Lonchura striata: one gene and its partners. The protein of the gene in region 2 interacts with the protein of the main gene of each other region in a biochemical or structural test. Links are inferred from orthologs where the notes say so. Each region holds a gene or a part of one and is shown on either strand. Other genes may lie near its edges. The genes, in order: PPP2CB, MAPT and CSNK1D.

Region 1 (7,810 bases), on a different chromosome or scaffold from region 2:
TGATCTCCAAACCAGCTGGATCTAACTCTGTTATCACTCATTCACAACCCCAGTCACCTCGCCCTCGGATCACAGGTTAAAGGAGCTCATCTGGGACTGCTCCTCTGGATGTCAAACAGAGCCTGCAGAAATCTACAGAAGGAAGGGTTTTCCTCATCCCAGACTCACCTGGCCGTCTACTAGAGCTGTGAGAGGAAGGTAATCAAACAGGTCTGTGAAGTACTTCCAGACGTTGGCGTTGCCGTACTTGCGCAGGCACTCGTCGTAGAAGCCGTAGACCTGTGTGATTTGCCTGCTCTCGTGGTTGCCCCTCAGTATCGTGATGCGCTCCGGGTACCGCACCTGGGGGCGGAGAGAACACTTCCTTAGCACGGGCACGGAAACAAGGAGTGATGGAATATCAGCAACAGCAGCCAGGCACTCTGCTCCCAGCACGTGTCTGCTGACACGGATCCATTTACACCCGTTATGCCCGAGCCAACGGCAGCCTCACCGGGAGGAGAAAACGGCTCCCAGCTCCCAGGTTTCATCCCCAGTCCCCCAAGCCGTACCTTCAACGCCACCAGGAGAGTCACTGTCTCCACAGAGTAATAGCCTCTGTCCACATAGTCTCCCATGAACAGGTAGTTTGTGTCTGGAGACTTCCCACCAATCCTGAAGAGCTCCATAAGGTCGTGGAACTGCCCGTGGACATCCCCGCAGACAGTGACGGGGCAGCGCACCTCTTGCACATTTGATTCCTTTGTAAGGATTTCTTTAGCCTGGCAAGGAAAGCATGTTTAGGGCAACAAGGTAGGAAGCTCCTCCAGAAGCTGGTGATATTATTCTGCTGCATTCCCACTGGAAACCCAGTTTCATCCCCGCTGCTCAAGCCAACCACTGGAAAAAGTTTGGTGAGCACAGACAAGGGGTGTTTCCCAAATCCCAGTGCACGGGGATGAACAGGCCATCCTTTACTACAGCAAGGCCAGATGCCCTTGCCCGGGGTACATTTTGCCCAACAGAATTCCAATCCTCTTCCCAGCACAACAGTTCAGCAACTTCTACGGGCTAGTCACTTACAACTGGAAAGCAGAGACAGAGGCAGTTGGAACATATGGAGCCACAACCAGCTTCCCTGGCTGTGCCCAGCTGGCAACAAAACAACTACAGATGGAGGGATGGCATCCCTGGATTTAGTCATCTCTTCTCCCACACCCAGCAGTTCCTCTGCTAATTACAACCATGCAATGTAGCCTATCTGCACCACCTTATTATCCTTATCAAATACCAGGTTTGTTGTGCTGCCTGCAGCTCACTGACTGATGCTGAACAGCGCTCCTGGCACATCTGAGGCACAGGGAACACCCACAGGATGGCTCCATCTGATCCAAACAAAAGGGCTGGAAGATCACCAACACTGAGCAATCACCAGCAGGTGATGATCTGGGTATTCCCTGCCATATCCCTTAGCTCAGGATGAGCTAAGGCTCACCCTGTGCTGCCAGAAGGGAACCGCTTCCAAATGATACCCTCTGTGGGCTTCCTGAGGATGCCTGAGTTTCCATTCCAGTGCTTGCTGCCTTGCCTCTTTTAGGTAGAACATGTATTTGGAAGGAGTAACTACACCCCAAGCAGTTTGGACTGCATCCAGCATGCTCTCTGCACAGAACCTAACTTGACGGATCCTTAAAGTCACATCCTGCCCATGGATTTGACGAGTTGGGCTCTGCCTTGCACTTCTGGCATGACTGGGAACTGCTGAACATGTTGTATTTGAGTGCAGTAGTAGCACTCAAATTCTGCTTGCACGTCTTTAAAAGCATTTATAGTGCCTTCTGAGAGCTTCCACCCTCTGGGAGAGACAAATATAAACCCACAAAACAGCTGCTCCGTGTGTTCTGGCTGTTGCACAAAGCAACAGGCAGGGGTTTGTTCCAAGCTGGAGCTCAGCAGTGCTCCTTTTCCACAGGAACAGGGCAAATGGGCTCACTTTAAACCTACCCTAGGAATGGGGGACAGCCCACGACCTGAAACGTTGGTGCTAGGAGAATCCAAAAGTTTCCCCTGATGAGGAAGGAGGAGCTGGCAGGTGACAGGAGCGGCTCCTTCCGCTGCCAAGCAGCTGTTCCCCTGCAGCCCATTTTAGCTCATGCTGTGGACAGTCGTCGGTGCACGTGGACAGATCCAGGCTGTCATTTGAACTCTGCCGAGCCAGTTTACATCAGGGTCGGGAGCCCCAGTTTGCCCTCACATGATGATCTTCTCATGCAGAACAAGGCTTGCAAAATGCTCAGCATCGATAAAAACACCCCAGAAAAGCAGTGACTAACCAGCGCATCTGCCTGCAGCGTGAACATTGAAATCAAATTACTTAAAATAAAAAGCACTATTACAAAGCAAAAATAAAAACCTCTGATGCAAGCAGGCTGCCTGGCATCATCAGCACTTACTTAATCCAGGAGGCTAATAAATAACTATGACTTAGAAGTCAAAATTTAGCTACCTTTGTTGCAGAAAACAGTGACTAATGGTATCAGCCTCCTGTGCATCTGTCCCACTTGTGCTGGATGAAAACCATATCCAGGTCAGGACAAAAAAGCAGCAGTCTTTAGGTGTTTTTGTTAAATAAAACTCCCTTGCATTAAGTAAACTGAACCAATGGTTGTCTGTCTGTGCTCAACTCCTGGTGTGTTTCTGAAGAGCCTCAGAGAGAGAAGAAACTCCATTCCTTCAGGAAAACTGATTCCCTCAGCTTGATCTGACCCATAGAGGCTCGTTCTCTGGGAACCTGAAGCCAGGCGTGGAGTTGGGGATCCAAATTCACCTGAACCTTCATCCCACCAATGGCCACAGACCAAACTACTGTACCAACAAGTGGGCTGAGGCTATGAACCTCAGGGAGCTTGGCTGGAATGCCAACCAGCCAAGTGAGATGGAAGCCAGAGGGATGGCAGGGATGGAGCTGTCTCACCCTTCAGGAATGAGGCACCCAGAGCCTCTGCTAAGGTGCTCCCTGATCCAGCACCCCCCGGGATGAACATCACCAACAGAGTGATAAAACACTGCCAGCCATGACACAACACAGGGAATCTCCTGTGTCCCCTCTCACACCTCCAAGGAACCAGGAGAGGAAAGATAAGCTGCAAGGAGAGGGATGGTCATGGATGGCTGCTTGTTTAATTCAGGAGGCAGCCTTTTCCTGCCTTCTTCCATTGCCCATTTGATCATCTTGGTGAAGAACCCTTTTGCCTGGATTAAGCAGGGTGGCTCTCAACTCCCTCACCTGCACCCCAAACGTGGAAGCTTGAACAGTGACCAGAATTAATCCTTCTATCAGCCTCTGAATTTCTGTAGGATTTGAGCTAATTTCCCTTTTAAACACCAAGAGAATGGGAACAAGGTTATCACGTTGAGGAACAGCACCTCCCTCACCTGCAGGAGCCACAGGGGGCTGATCAGCTGCCTAATGAGCTTGCCACTGGGCAGGTGAGGACAGAATGTCACTGCCACAGCTGCAAATTTCAACAACTTTTACGAGTGCACAATCACTGGGCACACCTTCATTGTGTCCAATCCTCCCCTCAGCACTGCCCTCTACGCCACTACCTAAAACCAAAAATGATCCACACAGATAGCTCTGGGATTTCATTGTGGTTTTTTTGTTTTGTTTTCTTTTCTTTTTTCCCTTCATTTTGATTTTTTGTTTTAGGACTGAGTTCTTCCACAACTTGAAACCTGAGGCAAAAGGTACTACTGTCCTGAGTGTCTCTGAAATCAGCCCCAAAAACAAGAGTGTTACAAAGTGTTCTGGAGAAGAGGATTCCTCCAAATATAATTTCAAGGAAACCAACTAAACCAGCTTTGTGGCAGGGCTGCACACCCAGAGTTTTTTGTAAGCTCCTCTCCTGGGTGACACAACCACTCCCCAAAACTTAAACAAGCCAAGTCAGTGCAGGGCACAGTGTTTCCTTCATGCCCCAGCCGTTTCCCTCCGTTTCCAGCAGCCTGGAAGAACGAGGTGCTGTGACAGATGACACACCTCCCTGTCACCTGCTTCCTGAAGGACAAACACCCTCCCCACCTACAGCTGAGCTCTCCTGTCAGCCTTCAGCTTCCCAAAATACAGCAGCCACAATTCCAGCGTCCTAAAGAGCCACAGCTCCCTCATAACTGATGGAGCTCTGGAGAAAAGAGGCACAAAACAAACGGATGGCTCCAGCACAGGACTGAGAAAACAAAAAGGAAGAAACCAGAAAATGTGTGTGGGGGGGGGTGGTTAGGGAGTGTCAGGATCACTGTTGGAAGAACGTGCCAAGGAAAATCTTCCCTTGGTCACAGACTGCAGTGCTAAGGGAGTGCTCACAAACTGCTACTGGACTGCTCAGACAACACCTAGCACAAGTCTAAGGACCTTTCCCCCGATGGGAAAAAAAGGTTTTTCCCAGTGCCCACTAAACAAATCCAAGCACGCGTTTGCCAAGGCCTGTCCATACCGCAGCCCAGAACAGCAGACAGTGTCCTTTATCCGACCATTCCTCTTTCTATTTTGGTCGCCTCAGCAGGCTGCGAGCCTGTTTGCGGCTCACCTCTGCTTCCCGAGATCCCACCTCGGAAGTCAGTGGGCTTCCTCACTGACTCGGGGTTGATTTTCCAGCGCCTGGCTCCTCCACGTTGTGTAGGACACCAGGACATCGGATACTCCAGGGCCACCACCCCGGTGTCCCAGCGCGGGACGCTCCAGAGGGAGCGCCCCGGCCACCCCACGTCCACTCTGACAGACACCATCCCAAAGATCCAATGGCGGATATCCCACAGGCGCCATCCCGCTCTCCCAAAACCCACAGGCACCAGCCGCTTTCCCAGTGCCAACACCCCACAAGCACCGCCCGCTTTCCCAGCGCCCGACATCCCAGCAGCCGCATCCCTGCCTCCCAAAACTCGCTGTCCCGCAGGCACCACCCCGCTCTCTCCACGCCCGGTATTCCACAGGCACCACCCCGCCCCCCAGAGCCCGGTATCCCCCCGGCCACAAGCCGGTCTCCCAACGCCGGACACACCGCGGGCACCGTCCCGCCCTCCCAACGTCCGGGCCCCGCACTCACCTTCTCGCACAGGCTGCGGACCTGGCTCTCGCTCAGCTGCCGGCACTCGTTCAGCTGCTCGATCCACTGGTCCAGCTCCTTGGCGAAGCCCTTCTCCTCCATGGCGAGGGGGGCCGGGCGGGCCCCCCGAGGCCCGGGCCCGCCTGTGGGTGCCGGCGGCGGCCGGGGACGCGCGGCCCGCTCGGGGCTGCTCCGCTCCGCGTAATGGCGGCGCCCCCCGCCTGCCGCGGCTGCTGCGCACTTCCGGCCACGCCCACGGCCGCGCGCCGCCGCTTCCGGCGCGCGGAGTCGGCCTCAGAGCCCCGCCCCTCCCGCTGGCCCCGCCCCCGCCGTGGCCACGCCCCCTCCCGGCTCCGCTCGGCCGCGCTCGCCCCGCCGCAGGAAAAAGGAATAAACTGCTCCCTTCTCGCCGGGGAAAAAGGATTAAATCAAAGGTTTTGCGCCCGCTGTCGGAGTCGAGTCGCAAGCGTTGGTAGCAGGGCCCGGGAATGTGACAATCCCTGTCTGGCGCGGTATTAATTCCTTTCGCCATATTCCCGTGAAATACTGTGGAGCAGTAATCGCTACAGGAGCGCGTGTACGATGATGTACTAAATATGACACATGATTAGTGAATATAAGCAGTCAAAATGAATACATTTGCTACAGTCTGGCACTCATCTCGCCCTCAGCTTTAAACTGTGACAGACCTGCAGAAATCCCTCCTTGCTGCTCTTTATTTATATAATCTGCTTTGGACTCGTTCTGCTGTGTCCCCTGTACCCAAATGGAGCAGTAATATCGTGACAGAGATGCAGTAACTGAGGCTACGACACTGCCACAACCCGGAGTGCCCAGCCCAGGCAGAAAGGACTGGGATTGGAGGAGACCCCTGAGGGAAAACTTCCCTGGGATTTTTAGCAGGATAAAATAGATCAAGTCCACGTGGTGTGTTTTTTTCATGTCAGATGGGAAGGCTGAGGAGCTGCTCAGGCTGTCCGACCAGGAACACTCATGGCCATCACAGGTCCCTTAATCTCCTTTGGATAGAAGAGATGGACTTGAGGAATTCACCCTGAACTGAGGGAAGAAAATGAAAGGATTCACAACATTGTGTCCCTAAAGTGAATTTTCTAACCGAAAATACAGCTATAAAAAGTAAAAGAGAACAATTTACAAAAAACACAGCTTTGTAGCTACTGTTCTGGAGGACAATCGCTTGCCAGTCCAGTTCCCAGGAAAGATAGCTGCCAGGAACTGTTCATGCTCCTCTGGATGTTTTATTTGCTGATTGGTTTTCCAGAAGGTCATTTCTAACCATATTTTCCATGTTTGTGGCACTGCAGCAGAGCACGGCCATGGGATAAGGCAAATCCTGCCTCGTGGCATTGGACAATAAATCTTCCCAGCCCGGAGCATATGGGAGAGCAGCACCCCCAATAAAAATCATCCCTGGCTTGTCCAAAATGACCCAAAAAAGGGCATCCTGAGTCTCAGGAGGCCAGCCTTAAAACAAATGCTGAGTAGCTTTTATTCTGTCTTTCAGTTTCTGGAGGTTTCCCCATGATTTAATTTGAGGAAACAAAGCACGGACACATGGATGTGCACGCTTTGGTGCTAAGTTTCTATTTACTGATTCCTTGCCACCATTAAAATGTTTAATAGGCGACGCTTAAATGGAAAGATCCAGCTGAGATATTTCTCTTGGCTCCCGGTCAGGAATAAAGAGGTTTCTGAGGTATCGATCCGATGGCAGGTGCTCAGCAAAGCTCCAGCAAAATCTCACAGCCTGAGCCAGGACCTTCCTCAGAGCAACACGACGTGGTTTGCTGGAAAGAGGGAGCTCTTGGGATGAGCTGGGGATTTTCCTGCAAAGGAGTGGCAGGGACAGAGCCTGCGGAATCTCCCGGCAGCAGAGGGGGACATTCATCAGGCTCCCTGGCAGGGAAAACTGACAAGCCTCAGCGACAGGGAATTAATGAAGGCAGGATTTTCCACCACCTTCTCTAAAATCTCATCATCTCTCTGCTAGAACCTTCTAAAAAGGCAATGCTGGTGAAGTGGCATGAAAGGCTACTTTATTAAAAAACACATTACTGTTGGCTGTGTAACATTAAACCCCCCCATGGGGTACCTTGCTTTCTTATTCTTGTGACTTTTCCACTGAAACTCGGCTTTTTAGAGTGTGATACAAAACACAGGAGAAACAGAGGCAGAAAAAATTACTCATGGCCACCATTGCCTATGGAAGGCACTGCCTGGGCTTATCCACTGCTTCCCAAAGGGTGCTGGATTCCTGTGTTTTAGAGAGGGGAAAAAACCCACCCCCACAATGAATAAAATAAATCAGTAAAGTTCTTCCTTCTGCCAGCAGCTGAGGGAGCACAAACTCAGTGGGAGCTGCTCCAAGGGCACCTGACCCCCCCTGAGGGTGCAGAGGAGCCCCAGACCACCCAGGGGTATGAGGATAAGGATCCCTAAAAGACATTTTGGAGTGCAGGCACAGCATTTTTGCAGTGGATGGGAGGCAGACCTACCTGGCAGCAGCCTCCATGAAGCCTGGATTCTTTCTCCCAGCGTTTCCCCACAGGATTTGTCTCCCTCCTTCCCGTGGTGGCATCTATCACCATGGGCAGCACTGTGAGGAGCAGCAGGCAACATTACAACATCTTGATAAACTGGGAAAAAAAGCCAGGGAGAAGTCAGAGGGGAGGAAAGAGGCAAAGAGAGGGGGAATGATGCCAGGA
Region 2 (7,810 bases):
TTTTGGGCTGGGCTGTGTAAATCGAGCCTCTGCTCCAGCCTTGTGACCCCGGGCTGGTCCCTGCTCTGCTCCCGGGGCCGTGCCCGCCGTGCCCCACTCGGAGCCTGGCACGGAGGGCTGGGGGAGGCTGTTCCAGATGTCTGGCACAGGTTACACATCTGGGTGCTCCCAGCTCTGCCCTCTGCCCCTGCCCTCCGTGGGGCACCTTGCTCTCAGCTGGGCTGCACCTGGGGTTTATCTCCCTTCCACTGCAGAGAAACTTTTGGCCAAAGGTGTGCGAGTTTGGGCTGCCTGCCTTAGCGTGGGCTCGGAGCCCTGCCGGGCAGAGGGTGCTGGGGGCTTTCTGTGGGGTTTTTTGGGTTCCCAGGGGCTGCAGGGTGGTGGCTCTGCTGTGCTGCTGGGCTGTTCTGGCTGTGCCCAGTCCTGGTGCCTCTTTGGTGGCCGGGCAGGAATCGCTGCTGCAGACTGGACGTGGGGCTGGGGACGAAGAGCAGCTCTGGGGTGACCTTGTGTGGCCTTCCAGCATCTGCAGAAAATGGGAAACACTGGGAAATACTTCCAAGGACCTGCAGCGACGGGACAGGGGAATGGATTCCAACTGAGAGAGGAGGTTTGGAGTAGATATTAGGAGGATGCTCTTCCCTGGGAGGGCGGGCAGGCCCTGGCACAGCTGCCCTGGATCCCTGGCAGTGCCCAAGGCCAGGCTGGATGGGGCTTGTCCCAACTTTCTGGGACAGTGGGAGGCGTTGCTGCCACGGCAGGGTGGCACTGGATGGGCTTTGAGGTCCCTCCCAACACCAGGAGGGCTTCAGGTCTGGAAAACGAGAGGTTTGGAGGAGCTGTTAATGATGGGATAGGCTGTTGCTTTTTAGATAGTGTCCCTGGTTAAGGAGAATAGTTCTGCTGGGGATGGATAAGGTTCTTTGGGGGGTTTGTGCTTTATCTGCCATGCAGAGGGTGCTGTTCAAGTTTATCTCTGTGCAGCTTTCTTTGCTCTAATTATGCATCACTGAGCCACTGCTTAAAGGCGGGGCTGGTTTTACACTTTTAAGCATATTTTAGAATTTTTTTTTTCCCCTTGATGTTATGTTTTTCTCTGAGAGGGATTTCCCCTTCCCCCACTCAAAAGGAAAAACAAAGAGGATTACCATTATGGACTTCTTTCAGAATTTTCATTCCATCCTTGAGAATTCGAATCTAGAATCTGTCATTTTAATAAGATTTAAATTCTCTTTGGTCACATGAATTCATGACCTGAGTGAAAACCCAAGGCCAAGCTGAGGCTTTCCTCCCTCCCTGTCTCTTGGCTCTGGTGCCAGGTGGTTTTGTTCCCCACCAGGGCACTCGTGGAGCAGCAGGAGGACGCTGTGCTCCATCTGCTGGGAGATGTTTCTGCTCTCCAGAGCGATCCAGGGTCCCCTGAGTGTCTCAGTGATGGACCTCCATGTTTTGGCCGTGCTTTTTTCCCTGTAAGAGGAAGGCAGCTCTTCCTCTCTGTCTCTGAAAAATTGATGGCTGCATCCCCCCGAGCCCCCCGAGCTGCATCGTGCGGTGCCATGGGGGGGTGGGGGCTGGCCCTGCCTGTCCCTGGGCAGCACGGGCAGGGCACAGCACCCCAGTGCTCTGCACAGCCCTGGCCCTTCCTTCGTGCTGGAGAGCCTGGCACTGGCTGGCAGTGCAGGCAGGTGAGCAGCAGCCCTGCCCGCAGCAGCCTCTGCTGAACCCAGCACTGCTGCAGCGCAGGGGCTGCAGCGCTGCATCCTGGAGAAATGCAGGGACTACCCCAGGCTGCATCCTGGAGAAATGCAGGGACTACCCCAGGCTGCATCCCGGAGAAATGCAGGGACTACCCCAGGCTGCATCCTGGAGAAATGCAGGGACTTCCCCAGGCTGCATCCTGGAGAAATGCAGGGACTTTCCCAGGCTGCATCCTGGAGAAATGCAGGGACTACCCCAGGCTGCATCCCGGAGAAATGCAGGGACTACCCCAGGCTGCAGCCCTGCATGCCCGGAGAAATGCAGGGACTTTCCCAGGCTGCAGCCCTGCATGCCCAGAGAAATGCAGGGACTTTCCCAGGCTGCATCCTGGAGAAATGCAGGGACTTCCCCAGGCTGCAGCCCTGCATGCCCGGAGAAATGCAAGGCCTGACGTAATCAATATGACCCTTTGAGCACTAGGAGGAAGGCAGCCATATGTCCAAATAATTAGGGCCCACTAATTAGAGCAAAAATTAGGTATTTAATTCTTTCTTATTTTATACCTCCATTTTTGTGGGTGATTTCATTCCAGTGCAAGCTCTCCAGCCTCCTTGGTTCTCCAGTGCTGTCAAATGGCTTTGTAGCTGTCTAAGGCAGTAATTAAATTGCAGAGTCATCTTGCTAAGGCTTAAAAAAAGCTGGCTGAGAGATCTGGTTACTGGCCCTGGAGTTTCTCTTGTGTGGTTCCATACATCCAGTTAATTTATTGCCAGCACACAAAACCACAAGTTTCCTCCTTGCTGCTGGTAACCTGAGCTCCACTGCTGGATTCAGCGGGCCCTGAGGGTCACGGCAAGCATGTGATCACACTAAAAGCTGATTATTAATCACTGCCAATGGCTGTAATCATACCAGCTCTTAGGAAGGCAGCTGAAAGCACTGTCTGTCCACCCGGCGCGGAGCAGGGGCAGGTAATGGTTGTTGGAGACTTCATTTCCTCTCGCAGATCAAGGCAGTTCGCAGAATCAGCTGGGAGGTTTGGCACCTTTCTGCTCCCACCCCAGACCTGTTTGCTTGGCTCTGTGCTGTGGTGAGGCTCTCTGAGCCTGCAGGAAGGGTTTGGGGTTAAAGCAGGGGCTGTGCTGTCCCCTCTCAGCCACAGCTGAGCGAGACCCTCTCCTCTGAGAGTCCAAAATCCATCTGTGGATAGGCCTGGTGTCCCCCCTCTGCCGCTTTCGGATGGCTTTGAAGATGTGTGTCCCTGCTGGGTGTCTCCACAGGGAGGGGAGGATCCCTTCCCACAGCAGCATCACACCTCCCCAGCAAATGCATCTCTTGGGGGACTGGTTAAACTGGGAAATGCAGAGTTTGGAGCACCAGGAGCCAGTCAGCACAGCCTGCTGCTCGCAGGGAGCTCCTGGGGTGAAGCTGTGTCAGGGCAGTGTCCTGGGTGCACCAGGGTGCTCTTTTTCCTTGGGACATCTTAAACACCCGTGGAATTTCAGTGCAGCTGGCAGGAGGTGCCTCTGTGTTTGTTGTGAGGGATGCAGTGACTGGCACATGCTTTTGCCTGTGCAGGAATGGCCAGACCTTCCCTTTGCTGCTGCTGTGACAGGTTTTGCCTAATGGGTGTTAGTTTTTACTCTCCTTTCCAGGTACCTTTGCTGAGAGGTGGCAGAGCAGCCTCAGGACACCACCATGATGGAGGATCACGCACCTGGCCAGGAAAAGCACTTCTCATCAGGTGAGCACGTCCAGGACGGGGTGGAGGACCTGCCTGGGCCCCTGCTGAGGCAGGGGGAGAGGCAGAGCAGCCAGGGGTGCTGGTGGTGCCAGGGCTCCTGGCAGGGACACTGTGGTCAGCTGGCTGCAGCCAGGGCACCACGGGGAGCCCACGGGGTGCTCCACGTGCACGGTGGCAGCGAAATGCTGCTCGTGGATCTCGCTGCCCACTGAGCAGAAGAACCCCAGACCAGGGGCGATCCCACTGCTGCAGCTTTGCAAGTGTGTGTTTGTGTTCACTCCTCAGTTTGCTAAGAAAGCACAGCACTTCTTTTTATTTGGGGTCACAGCTCGAGGGTGCTGCTTGCTGCCTGCCTTCCTCACCTGCACAGGGACCTGGGGAGAACTGAACAGAGAGCTCTGGGCGTGGGGGCCATGCTAGAGTCTTCCTCACCATATTTCAGACCTGCATTTCTTCAGAAGCTTTTCCTTTCTCATTCCACCGTGCTCCACAGCTGAGCTTGGAAACCCGCACCGCCCAGCAGACCTGGGGGGACTCACTCCTGGCTGTGCTCCATATAAACATCATCTTAATTTCCTTTTCTTGAGGTGCTTTGGACACCTCTTCAAGCAGATAAATGGATGGCCTCTGTCCTGGAGAGAATCCAGAGCATCCATTCATCCAGTAGCGCATTGCGGTCCGGCAGCTCCTCTCAGCTTGTGAAACATCACAGGTTCTCAGGGATCTCACTTCTTCTTTTCCAAATCAGTTTTTCCAGCTCTCATTATTTGATTTGCCTGCACCCTTGCTGAGAGGAGACTTGTGCCTCTTGCCCTGCTCTTCCAGAAGACTTTTGCCACGGTTTCTTGGCACAGAATGCTGTCCTGCAGCAGCCCCGTCACAAACACGGGCTGGTTTGCAGTCCTGGGAGTGCTCAGCCTGCTCTGGGAGGGAGAGGACAACAGGGGCTCAGAAGCTGCACATCTTTCCTCCTTACGTTGCCGAGATCTCCTTGCCTGCTTGTGCCATGCTTTGCTGTTTCTGCCTGCCCGGTTCACTGGGCTTTTCTTTTGCTGGTGGGTTTCCATTTGTTCCTTTCGGCGCTCACACTGGTGCTTTTGGTTGGCATTTCCACGCTTTGCTTGCTCTTGGCTCAGGTGGTTTTACTCTCCAGCTGCAGCTTCTTGCAGCTGTGGATCACAGCTGGTAACCCCCAGGCCCCAGCTCTTAGCCAAGGACCTGTTGTAAGTATGTGAATGTTTTCCAGGCTATCCCCTTCAGATACCAGTCGATGATGGATCGGATGAGCCTGTTTCTGAAACATCTGACGCTAAGAGCACCCCAACTACGGAAGGTGGGAGCTCTTTGACTTTCTGCTTTGGGACCATGCTGGACGGGGTCGTGGTAAACCTCGCCACAGACTCCCCGTGCCGTGTCCTGGGGGTTTCTCAGGAGGAGAACCCCTTTGTTAGTCTCATCACTAGTGGTGTTGGCTGTGCTGCAGAATGAGATAATGAGCCCCAGAGGTGCAGAGTGGGCTGCAAAGCAGGAAAGGTGAATTGTTCCTTGCAGCTCAGGAAGCTGCTGGTGGTTTGCTTCCTGCAGCCTTTACAGGGGCACTGCAGGGCCCTGGCAGAGCAGCCAGGAGCTGCTGTGTTGAGTGGCACAGGTTTGTGTCTGTGCTCCCCAGGTCCTGACTGCCTCGTGGGTAGAAAGGCTCTAACTCCAGAGTGGTCTAGAGACTTGTTCACTGTTGTAATTACCTTCACTTTTTGCCTTCCTCTGGCTGCTTTAATCCCAGGAATCTGCCTTTGGAGACTTGAGGTAGAGGCTTTAGCTTGCAAAATTGTTCTGAAAGGAAGGAAGGGTGGGCAGAGATGCTGAGCAGTCCCAGCCCTGTCCCGCTGGAGGTGTGGGCTGAGCGATTGTCAGGAAAGTGCCTCAAGAAATCAGGACATAAAACCTGTCTGGTGCAGGAGGGGATTTTGTCCTGCTTTCCAGCCGGGCTGGGGCTGCAGGATGAGCAGCCACCCCTCTGGTAGGTGGAGCTGGGTGTCCCTGCGTCCCAGAGCACGGTGCAGCCACTTGGGGTGCTCCGTGCAGCTCCAGGGGAGCTGCTGCGTGCTGCTCCACAGCAGCCGTGTCCCCGTGCAGGATTTAGTGGTGGATTTTTGGGCAGAAGCGTAGGGAGCGTTGTGTGGCAGGGGCCAGCTCGTGGTGTCCCTGTGGCTCTGGCTTTGGAGCCGTGCTTGGCCGTGAGGGAGCCGAGGGCTTCTCCGGGCAGGAAGTTCTCCAGGCCTGCAGAGGGCTTTGCCTCCCAGCAGCTGTGTGAAAGCCGTGTTGTTTTGCAGATGCCACAGCACCTTTAGTGGAGGAAGGAGACCACGAGGATCAGGGTGGTGCGGAACAGCACGGGGAGATCCCAGAAGGAACCACAGGTGAGGGAGACCAAGGTGCAGCTTCATCTCTTGCTGCAGACAGAGCAGAGAGCTGGACTGGTCGGTGTTGTGAGGCAACACCACGAAACCTCTCGCAGGGACGCTGCTCCCAGCCCTGCTTCCTTCTTCTCTGGAGAATTCCTCTCTCAGAGCTGTCCTCTTGCCTTCCCCGTCCTGGGGGGAACTCGCAGCCTTTTCTTCTCTCTTTCTCTGCTCCACACCTGACCATCCTTCTGTCTGGTGTCTCTGTGGTGGCTTTGGCTCCCACCTCCAGGCTCCTCTCTGCAGATCCGGGTCCTTCCCGTGCCAGCAGCCCCTGGGTGCCTCCTGCAGCCCCTGGGTGCCTCCTGCAGCCCCCGGGCTCTGCCCAGCCCTGGCGGTGTCTTTGGAGTGGCAGGTGGAAACCAGGCCACTGCAGCAGTGCTTTTAAGGGTGATGCAGAGCCAGTGAAGTGACTAATTCAGCCTGAATGCCCTGTGGGCAGCCACTGCACCTGGGCCTGGTTTTCCAGGGAAGGATGGGGCCTTCCAGAGGCAGAGCAGGGAGTGACTGTGGCAGTGCTGTGTGTGGGAGAGCAGGATGTGTCTGAAAAATGAGGATGTGTCCCCTGTGCCATAGCCAGTGGCTTTCCCTGGAAGCATCAGGCAGGACCTGAGAAAAGCAGCGGGTAGAAAAGGGCTTCTGCCAGTGCCAAGCACTGAAACAAACTCACAGCAGTGGAATTTCTGTGCTGCATCTGGTCCCTGAGCTGCTGGTGGAGCCCTGGACTGAAGCACAGAGCCTCTGGTGCAAGATCAGACTGTCCCAGGGAGCCAGTGTATCCTGAACTGCTTGGATAAAAATGAGGAAAACAGAGAAGAAGTCCTAGTTTGACTGGAGAACTGAGGCATACCAATAGAATTATTTAAGCTAGTTTGAAAATAGTCATAGAATAAACTGAAGAAATGCTGAGGAAGACAAACCACCATCACTGTGAAGAAAACCTTCTCTTATGCTTCTCTGATGTACCTGTAGTCCTGAAGTTCAGGATTTCTCTATAGATTTGTATCAGGCTTGGAGTTACTGGTCTCAGCCAGCCTTGGCAGGGCTCACAGGTTGGTCACAGACACAAGAAGTGAGCTCAGGTAAGAGACGTCCATGGGCGTGCTGCTGGCCGTGTAAAGGCCACGTGGGGGTAGAAGAGGATCTACATCCGCAAGTTGCCTTGCTCCTTAACAGCCTGTTTTCTGCCTGGAAGAGCTTGTGCTAACCTGCCATTTAGGATGTGGAAGCTGGTGAAACACTGCTCTGGTCTGTAGAGCAGGGGCTGAGCAGATCCACCCGGGTCCTTCATCAGTGTGGGGAGATTTCTGCCCTGCTGCAGAGATCCTGCCCGTTCTGCTGGGCAGCCTCGGCAGGGAGGTAAATTCATTCTCCAGGCACGTGCTTGAACTCAGCTCTTATTTTGATGATGTTTTTCCCCTTCTTTCTCTGCCTGAGCAGCTGAAGAGGCGGGCGTAGGAGCCACTCCCAACCTGGAGGACCACGCTGCAGGAGATGCCACTCAAGGTGGGTGAATCGTCTCTCACTGGGACCAGCTGCTGCTGCCCACGCTTGCAGAGGGCTGGTGGTGGCTGGGGAGGTTTGTTCTGTGAGGAAACGCTCTGCCCTGCTCAGCAGCTCTCCCTGTTCCTGGCAGAGGAGGGCCATGCACTCCTGGGCTGTTCCAACATGCTCTTTACAGGGAGCTGCAGCTCCTCGTGCACCAGATTTCCCTCTCAGATGGCCAAAGTCACGGTGCTTGTTTGTCCAGCTGCAAAACCAGTGTGTTCTCCAGGCTGGAAAAGCTGCTGGACAGAGCTGGGATGTGCTGTGGCCAGAGGAACTGCTCAGCTTGAGCAGAGGCAGTGCAGGCCTTGTGCTCACACATGAAACCAGCAAATTCTTTAATTGCTGTGACTTTCTAAAGTAA
Region 3 (7,810 bases), on a different chromosome or scaffold from region 2:
AAGCTCTTTTGATGTTGAACCAGAGCACTGAAGTCATCAGTGCCCTGGATGGCCCAAGGACTCTTCCATCTCATTGTCCACACAGAGAGGAGGAGAAACTGGTCTGAGACAGGCCATCAACTTGAAACCAAGTGATTGAGTTCAGTCAAGAGCCCTCAAAGTGAAACAACTCTAAAATGAGCAAAAATGAGTCACCTTCAAAATCAGCTGTGGGACTGAAATGTTTGGGAGCTCTCCAGGTGGAGACTTGGGGCAGCCCTAAAGATGAGCAGATCTTGCTGTGCCCAGGCTGATTCTTGTGTATAAAAGCAGTGATCCCTACCCTGGGTGGAGGCTCTGACTGCTTCAGAGACCCTGTAGCACTTTCTGCTGCACAGCTGAGCAAAACTGAGCAAAATCCAATTACATGAGATGCTTCCACACTCCAGAGACCACAGGGCAGGCGGATTATCAGAACCAATCAGAACAACTGTAAGTGAAGCCATATTTGATGCAGTTGAAGGCTCTGTTGCAAAGGACACTCTGCCAAAGTGAGTTATTCCGCAATTCAATCAATCTTTTCCCTGAGGGCTCATCAGAGAACAACAGAGGAAGGAAGAAAAGAGACTTGTTGTCAATCATTGTGCACACTGTAAGAAAGAGAGGCGTTTGAAAAGGGACTGTCCGCAGTTACAACACAAAACTCCTCTCTCGTGGCCATCACCGATGATCACTGAGGGGGACCAGAGGATTCTTTCCCAGCAGAACATCTGGTCACAGCTAAGCTGGGAAGGGAGGAGGTCAATGAGGAGGTAGAATTTTTTAGTGGCTATAGGAGCTGGTTGCTCTGTGCTGAATACAGTAAAAGGAAACTTGAGTGACGATTCTATAACAATCATTGGTGCAACGGGGAACCATGAAACTCAGCCATTTTTCCAGCCCATTGATTTTAAATTAGGAAAATAATGGGTGACTCCCCAGTTTTTGTAGCTACTCATTTTACCTAAGCCTCTCCTTGAATGATTTACTGGAAAACCTGAATGCTAAAATCAAGATTAAAATGGCAAAATGCAGGTTATTACTCCAAAATCTAATTATATGGAAGCTTCTGCTTTTGCACTACAATCTTCAAAGTCAGATGTGATCCATCTGCCATTTGTATCACTTGAGGATGCAGTAAATCTGGTAGTCTGGACTGGAGAGGAGGTGCCCCAGTGACCCAGAAATGCAGAGGCTGTAAGAAACAAATTGAAACCCTGACAGGACCAGTAAGGCAAAAGCAATACCCTTTGAGAAAATAAAGTTGTAAGGGGTTATTATCCCTTGGATATATTTATAAAAGATTTATAAAAGAAAAGAAATATTAGATTTATAAAAGATAAATTTATAAAATAAGGCCTGTTGAACAAATATGAATCCAAATTTAATAGCCTTATTTTGCCAGTTAAGAAGGCAAAGGGAAAGGACAACAGAGAATAGCCAAGGGAAAAATGGGCTGAGGGACAGAGAGGGAAGAAATTAAACATTAGGGCAGGGACCTGGAATGAGAGCATCCAAGAAAGAAAAAGTGTACTTAGAATATGAGAGAGAGAGAGGAAATAAAAGTTGGGGGGGACATCACAAAGGCCAAGAGGGTATATGGGTAGAATTCTAAAAAATTGGAAGACAGATAAATGGAAAAAGACAAAAATATCAATGGATTGAGATAGAAGATGAAGACAAGAGAAGTAGGGAAGAGGACAGAAGTCCAGAAAGCAAAAGAAAACAGAGAGATAGAATATGAGAAAAAGACAAGAGCCTGGAAAACAGGAGAGGGAGAGGTGCAGGAAAGCAGAAAAAAATACATCAGCAGGAGAAGGGTGGTAGGGATGGGATGCAGAAGAGGGGCAACATGGACTAATGGGTCCAGGACTCACCACAGCTCCCACTTACAGCTGCTGGGGGAATTTGACAGTTCAGATGTGTCTTTGTCTCTCCCTCTCCATCCCTTACTCTGTACTTCCAGAGACTCAGCTGTCAGCCACCTAAGACATCAATGTCTTACAACTTTTACAGTATGAGGCTTCACAAATACACAGCTTCACATGTGCACACACTACATGGTTATACATACAGGCCCTGCGGTGCTCTGCTTAGCACGACACTTATTAGACATTCTTCCTCACCCGGAGAGACAGAGGAGATCCCAACACTCCTCCCCAGCAAAAATGACATGGTTTTCCCCTGAAATTTGCGGGGTCACTTCTCAGACTTTGTCCCTGCACCACTCTCCCCCTCCTCGCCCTTCCGCCTTCACGATCAAAGGGGCGCTCCTCGGAACGCAGTGCTGCCGGAGCTCATCTCCACCGCGGGGACGACGACGCCACACACACCGAGAAGACTGCCGACCTCATTCGCGGCCCGGCAGGTGGCAGGGACGGCGCGGTGAGACGGGGCACCAGCGCCGGACGGCAGCCACGCCCCGCCCGGCGCGCGCCGTCCCTGCGGCAGCGCGCCCCGCCCCCGTCGCTAGGGAAGTGAGGTCACGCGGGATGGTGGCGGGGCGCCGCAGGGGCTGAGGGGCCGATCGCATCGGGAATCCGTGTCCATCTTGCTCGGGAGCTGCGGCGACCGTCTTGCCTGTCTCCTTAGTATCGAGCGGCGAGACCAAAGCCGCGATGGCATCCGAAACCGCAGGACTGTGAGGCATCAGAACGAGAGCCAGCAGGCCGGGCAGAGCAACAGAACGGTGTCGTGAACGACCCGAGCTGCCGCCATGGAGCTGAGAGTTGGGAACCGGTACCGGCTGGGCCGGAAGATCGGGAGCGGCTCTTTCGGGGATATCTACTTGGGTAAGGAGGATGGCTCGCAGGGGATTTAGTTGGCCGTTTTCTGGGTGTGTGGAGAACATCGAGGGCCTAGCCGGGTCGGGCAAGTAGCTGGGCTAGGGACACAGCAGCAGTAATTTAATATTTCGTTGACATCATGTCCTAATTTGGATAGTGCGGAAATCAGGAATTCTGGTTTACTCGGCTGCTTCTCTTCTCGTTGCTGTCTAGTGACCTTGGGCACCGTTCGAGTCTGTAAAATGGGCATAAGGGTAAAAATCGCCTCGTCTGAAAGAAAGGAAGGGAAAAAAACAAAATGATATAAACCCTAAAAACCCCACAACCCACCGCATTTGGAAAAACGTTTTGGGGAAGAAACGTACCAGGGTTAAATATCGCTGCAGTGAACTAGGAAAAATTGTCAGAAGAATGTTTATTCTACTTTGAGGCCTAAAAAAAATCACACAAATACAAGTGTTTAGGTTGCAGTAAAAAACCTTTAAATCCTTCAAATAATCCTCGTAGTTTGGCAAATCCTGTTGCTGACCATCACCTAACCGTGATCGCTCTACAATTGTAAAACGTACAGGATTGGAATTCTCTTTGCCAGTCCCTTATTATAGTTCTCTAACATAGCCTACTGCTGCTATTGTTTATGACAAGCTCAGGTAGTGGGTGCAACAGATTTTGAAAGCAGGTATTTTTAAAATGCTCTACATATTCGGCAAACTCTCAAGCCATGTGAAGTGGGTTCAATCCAAAGAAATATGAGCATTATGTCTCATCCAGTAGATACGAGTATTCTGCTTTTGAAAATTGTGTTAACCTAGAAGAGCAAATCAGGGAAGGGTGGGTGGGGGAAGGTGGAAGTTGCAGGGGCTAAGGTTCATTGACTGTGGAAGATAAAAATAATGTCACTTGCTGGCTTATGTGGTACGTTTGGCAGTGCATGCAGTATGAGATGTGGGGGTTGTTTTTCTATACGTGTTGCAGTGCACAGCTGCCATTCCAAAATAATTTTTTACTTAAAGCTGCTTGTTTACAGATCATGAAATACTCATTATCCATTAGACATATCATATGCCTGATGAAAAATATGCTATTTTAACTGAAGGTATGTGATTGTCTAGAGTCAGAGAACGTGATTCTTCCTTTCTGCAGTGCATGTATAGAAGATTGAAGATGTGACTATAGAAGATTGTCATAAAGCTTGTGCAAAAATTCTTGTTAGCTTCCATTTGGATTTTGGGGGCAATTAAGACAGCAGTTAAAATCTGAAAAGTCTTAGATAATTTGAATAATTTAAACTTTTGACTACTGCTCAGGTAAATCAGATTGTAATACAGTATTAATATCAAGTGCAAGTGAAATAAACGTTTATGTGTCACTTTTATCTCTATGAATGCAGCTTACACCAGTGAAGGTGCACAGAAAGTAATAGTTTGCTGTATGCTAGTGTATATATTAATGCCATACTGAATTCTGTGCAATAAATCCTGTGAGTTTTACATTTTTTTATTTCTAAACAATTGTCCTGGATTTACTCTCAAGGCTTACTGCAAATGTCATGCCATTTACGTGGAAGCATGGCTCAGGCATGGAGCTAGCATATAAGTATGTGAATGGAAGATCCAGCTGGTGGCATGGTTTTATTTTCTCAGGGGAAATTATTGTCTTTCAAGAACTGAAGCGTTTTATAGAGTCCCATTTGCTTTGCCTACAATTATCTGGTAGAACAGATGTTTGAAAACTGGCTTTTGTGATAACGAAATGTGGAGTTTTAAAAAAAATCCAGTTACTGCTCTGCTGTTCAGACTGTACAGTAGACATAAGTGTCTTAAAATAATTTATAATGTTATTTCAGAAGGCAGTATTTACTTTAAGTAGACGTGCCTTCTGATAGGCCTCAGTGAATTTGTAGATTATTTCAGCATACATTCCCAGCTCAGTTTTATGCTTTGAAAATGAAGATTTGACTATTTTTGCCTGCTTCCAGTCCCCAGGTTTTGTCTCAAATGCAGCTACAAGACATTTCAGAGTAGAGAGGAGGGGCGTCCTCTGTTTTCCCACCCTTACTCTTTTACCCTACTTTGGAATAAGAAACCAACAACATTGTTAGGAGCATGGTTCTTTCACATTCTTTCTTCTTCTTTGTACCTCAAAATTTATCTTCTGGAATTTGGAATGGGGGTCTGTGGGACAGAATTTTTATTTGTAAGGCACTACTGTAAATAAATAAGCATGGAAAACTTAAATAAAATGAAATTTAAGAGTTTACCTATGTTACCTTCCAGGGGAAGATATGAAAGAAATTGATACCTAGATACTCTAAATAGTATAAAAAGTGGACAGGAGTGAATGGATCAGAGTAAGCGTTTATTTTGTTGCAGGGAGCATGAGGTCAAGTAGGAATGAGTCATAGAGTAGTAGTTGCAGTGTTTTCATGGTTTCTTGTGTTATGCATGTATTTTTCTTAGGAATGAGTTTTAGGTTGTAAACTAATTCAAATAATTTCCAAGGCCTTCCTTAGGGAAGAGGACTTGACAATTACAAGTACATAAGAGTTTTGAATTTAAAAAAAAAAGCTTTCACAACTTTAGTCTTTCTTTTTCAATTAGAAATGGTGATGTCTCATTATACAGCTTGTTACTACTTTTTAATGATTCCTTTTATAGAACTGCTGCTTCTTAAATATTATTACATATTCCTTAAAGGAAGCTAAGCTTTTGGTGGAATACAGGACACTGTAAAATTTTAGAAACTTTTGTCTCAGGTTTAAGTTGTAAACAAAAGTCCCTTCTTGGGGGTAAGCACTGGATTGCTTGGCAGAATGATTTGCATTTTTGTGCCACTCTCATTAGTTTTGCTGGACTCAGAAATATTAATTGCATTAATAGTACAAAATCTCTTGTCTTGGAGGAGAGGGCTTACATAGAAGTGGAGTTTAGGCTAAAGATCTTGGCTTTCTTAGGTGGTAAAACTTCTTAGGAAGAGAAAATAGGCTGAGAAGTGACCTAGCAGATCAAGACCATGGTCTGTCAAGTAAGTTTAATGGTGCGTTGAGGAGGACTCGATCCTGATAATACAGGTTTTGATCCTCCTACACAGTTTTTGCGTTAATCAGCCACAGAGGACTGCAGCTGTCTTTAGAGAGAGATGTCTTTCATTATATGGAAGTTTGTGTCTGTTTTGGATCAACAAAGATTTTTTAAAAAGGCAAACCAACCGGAACCCCAAAACAACCCCATTGCTGTTTTTCGCTTATCGGTTAATATGGTCTTCTGTCTACACCTTCGTTATAGAACTTGGGAGAACAAGAGATGGTCAAGAAAGGTCAGGAGTTGTGTGGTTCATTTGTGGTGGGGAGGTCAGTATTAATAAGGCCTGCTTCCTTGTTTTTTTGATACATGCTTTCAAATCTCTGGGTTGATGTTCACCAAGATTAATTTAAGTCCACCAAAATAATTCACTCATGAAGTGTGAAAAATACTAGATTACATATTGAAGAGCTTTCAGTTGCTGCGGCTGTACTGTGTCCAAAGTAACAATCCAGGATCCTGTCGCCTGTTATGCTAGATAAATGTCTTGGTTTGACAAGATAGGAGTCTGTGAAGGAGGGCAAAAGCCTTCTGTGCAATGGAGAAGGTAAACCCCCTCCCTCCGAATTACCAGGATTTTTAAATTAAAAGGCTCTCAGGCAAAGATATGGGAATGGGAGTAACAATTCTTTACTAGGAGAAAACTAGATAACAACTTAAAAAGGCAAATGCAATTGGTACAAACAAAACTAGTGATAAAGTCCACAACCTGAGGATTCGGGGTGTTGGTGGCAGTCCGGTTGAAATGATAGCTGCTCCTCTTGCAGTGGCTGATGAATTGCAGCTGAAGTGGTGATCTTTAGAAGGGTATAGTTTTCTCTGAAGATCTGGTGGCAGTTGGGGCAGTCTTCCTCTGCGCCGGGGCCGCCTCCCAGCTACGCCGCCACTGCCTCACCACGCTCCAGCTGCTTCTCTCGGGAGTGCCGCCAAAGGAGCTGCTTCTCTGGGAAATCCCGCAAAGAGAGAGAGAGCTGCTTCTCTGGGAATCCTGTAAAGAGAGAGGGCTGCTTCTCTGGGAATCCCGTAAAGAGAGAGAGAGAGAGCTGCCCTGCCTCCCCAAAAAAGGTACCACTTTATACAATAAAAAGAGTGCTTGGCTTCCCCCTCTGGGTGGAGCATCTCACTATGGGATGGTGTTACGTTACCAGCCCTGCGGTGAATCAGGCAATGGCCCATTAACAAACCATTACCCCTTCGGAGCAAACCATTGTTCTTGGAAGAGATAACAAACCTGCCCAACCTCCAACAGATGGCAAATAGGATACAAGCTTATCTTACAAACCAGGACAGTAAAAAAGAGTCATATGTGCGGCCTTATTTTTCTTTTGCATTTTTACAGTGGATGGGCTTGAGTTGTGCTTATTGTATCTAGAGTGAGCTTCATATGTTTTGTTGATTTTCAGGGTAAAATGCCTAATAAATACCTGCTGGGGTGTCCACTCTGAGAAACTCAGTGTTCCGGCAACACCACCTTGATACCCATATGTGCGTACAAATGGAAAGACATTTTACTAATGTAGAAAAAGACACATAGTTTTGCGTGAGCTCAGATGATTTCCTGCAGTATCAGTTCCTGCCCAAGTGAAGAGTCATGTCCGTTTTGAGGTGTGGGACGTTAGCATGTCTTTGTGGTCTTAGTTTTCCTGACTTAATAGCACAAAAGCACTGAAGTAGCTCCTTAATCACAGGAACAGGATTTTGCAACTATAAAAGTTAGGTCAGTACAATGTAATGGTCAAAGAAAAACATGGGAGAAAATAGGTAGACGGAAAAATATGTCTTTATGCACATATGTTTTAATTGTTTTGTGTGACTCCCAGAAAGGGCATTATGGAAATGATGAAGGTACAGATAAGAGAAATGGGAAGTAATACGCAGTAATTAAAAATTACTGATACAGGGAATGACAAGAGATTTTGAATTCTG

The links.
Region 1: of the proteins of MAPT (region 2) and PPP2CB, one has a biochemical effect on the other in vitro, tested with the Homo sapiens proteins (2 studies listed by BioGRID). The link is inferred for Lonchura striata from reciprocal best matches to the Homo sapiens genes MAPT and PPP2CB.
Region 3: of the proteins of MAPT (region 2) and CSNK1D, one has a biochemical effect on the other in vitro, tested with the Homo sapiens proteins (4 studies listed by BioGRID). The link is inferred for Lonchura striata from reciprocal best matches to the Homo sapiens genes MAPT and CSNK1D.

What each region holds. Positions count from the first base shown.
Region 1 is NC_134606.1:72,154,406-72,162,215, reverse strand, and holds the start of PPP2CB (serine/threonine-protein phosphatase 2A catalytic subunit beta isoform), read right to left. Parts: upstream 5,272-7,810; 5' UTR 5,187-5,271; coding exon 5,085-5,186; intron 762-5,084; coding exon 552-761; intron 343-551; coding exon 169-342; intron 1-168.
Region 2 is NC_134627.1:8,750,108-8,757,917, forward strand, and holds the start of MAPT (microtubule-associated protein tau), read left to right. Parts: upstream 1-3,375; 5' UTR 3,376-3,396; coding exon 3,397-3,442; intron 3,443-4,688; coding exon 4,689-4,775; intron 4,776-5,772; coding exon 5,773-5,859; intron 5,860-7,341; coding exon 7,342-7,407; intron 7,408-7,810. UniProt on the Homo sapiens protein: Promotes microtubule assembly and stability, and might be involved in the establishment and maintenance of neuronal polarity.
Region 3 is NC_134621.1:12,200,560-12,208,369, reverse strand, and holds the start of CSNK1D (casein kinase I), read left to right. Parts: upstream 1-2,482; 5' UTR 2,483-2,734; coding exon 2,735-2,810; intron 2,811-7,810. UniProt on the Homo sapiens protein: Essential serine/threonine-protein kinase that regulates diverse cellular growth and survival processes including Wnt signaling, DNA repair and circadian rhythms. It can phosphorylate a large number of proteins.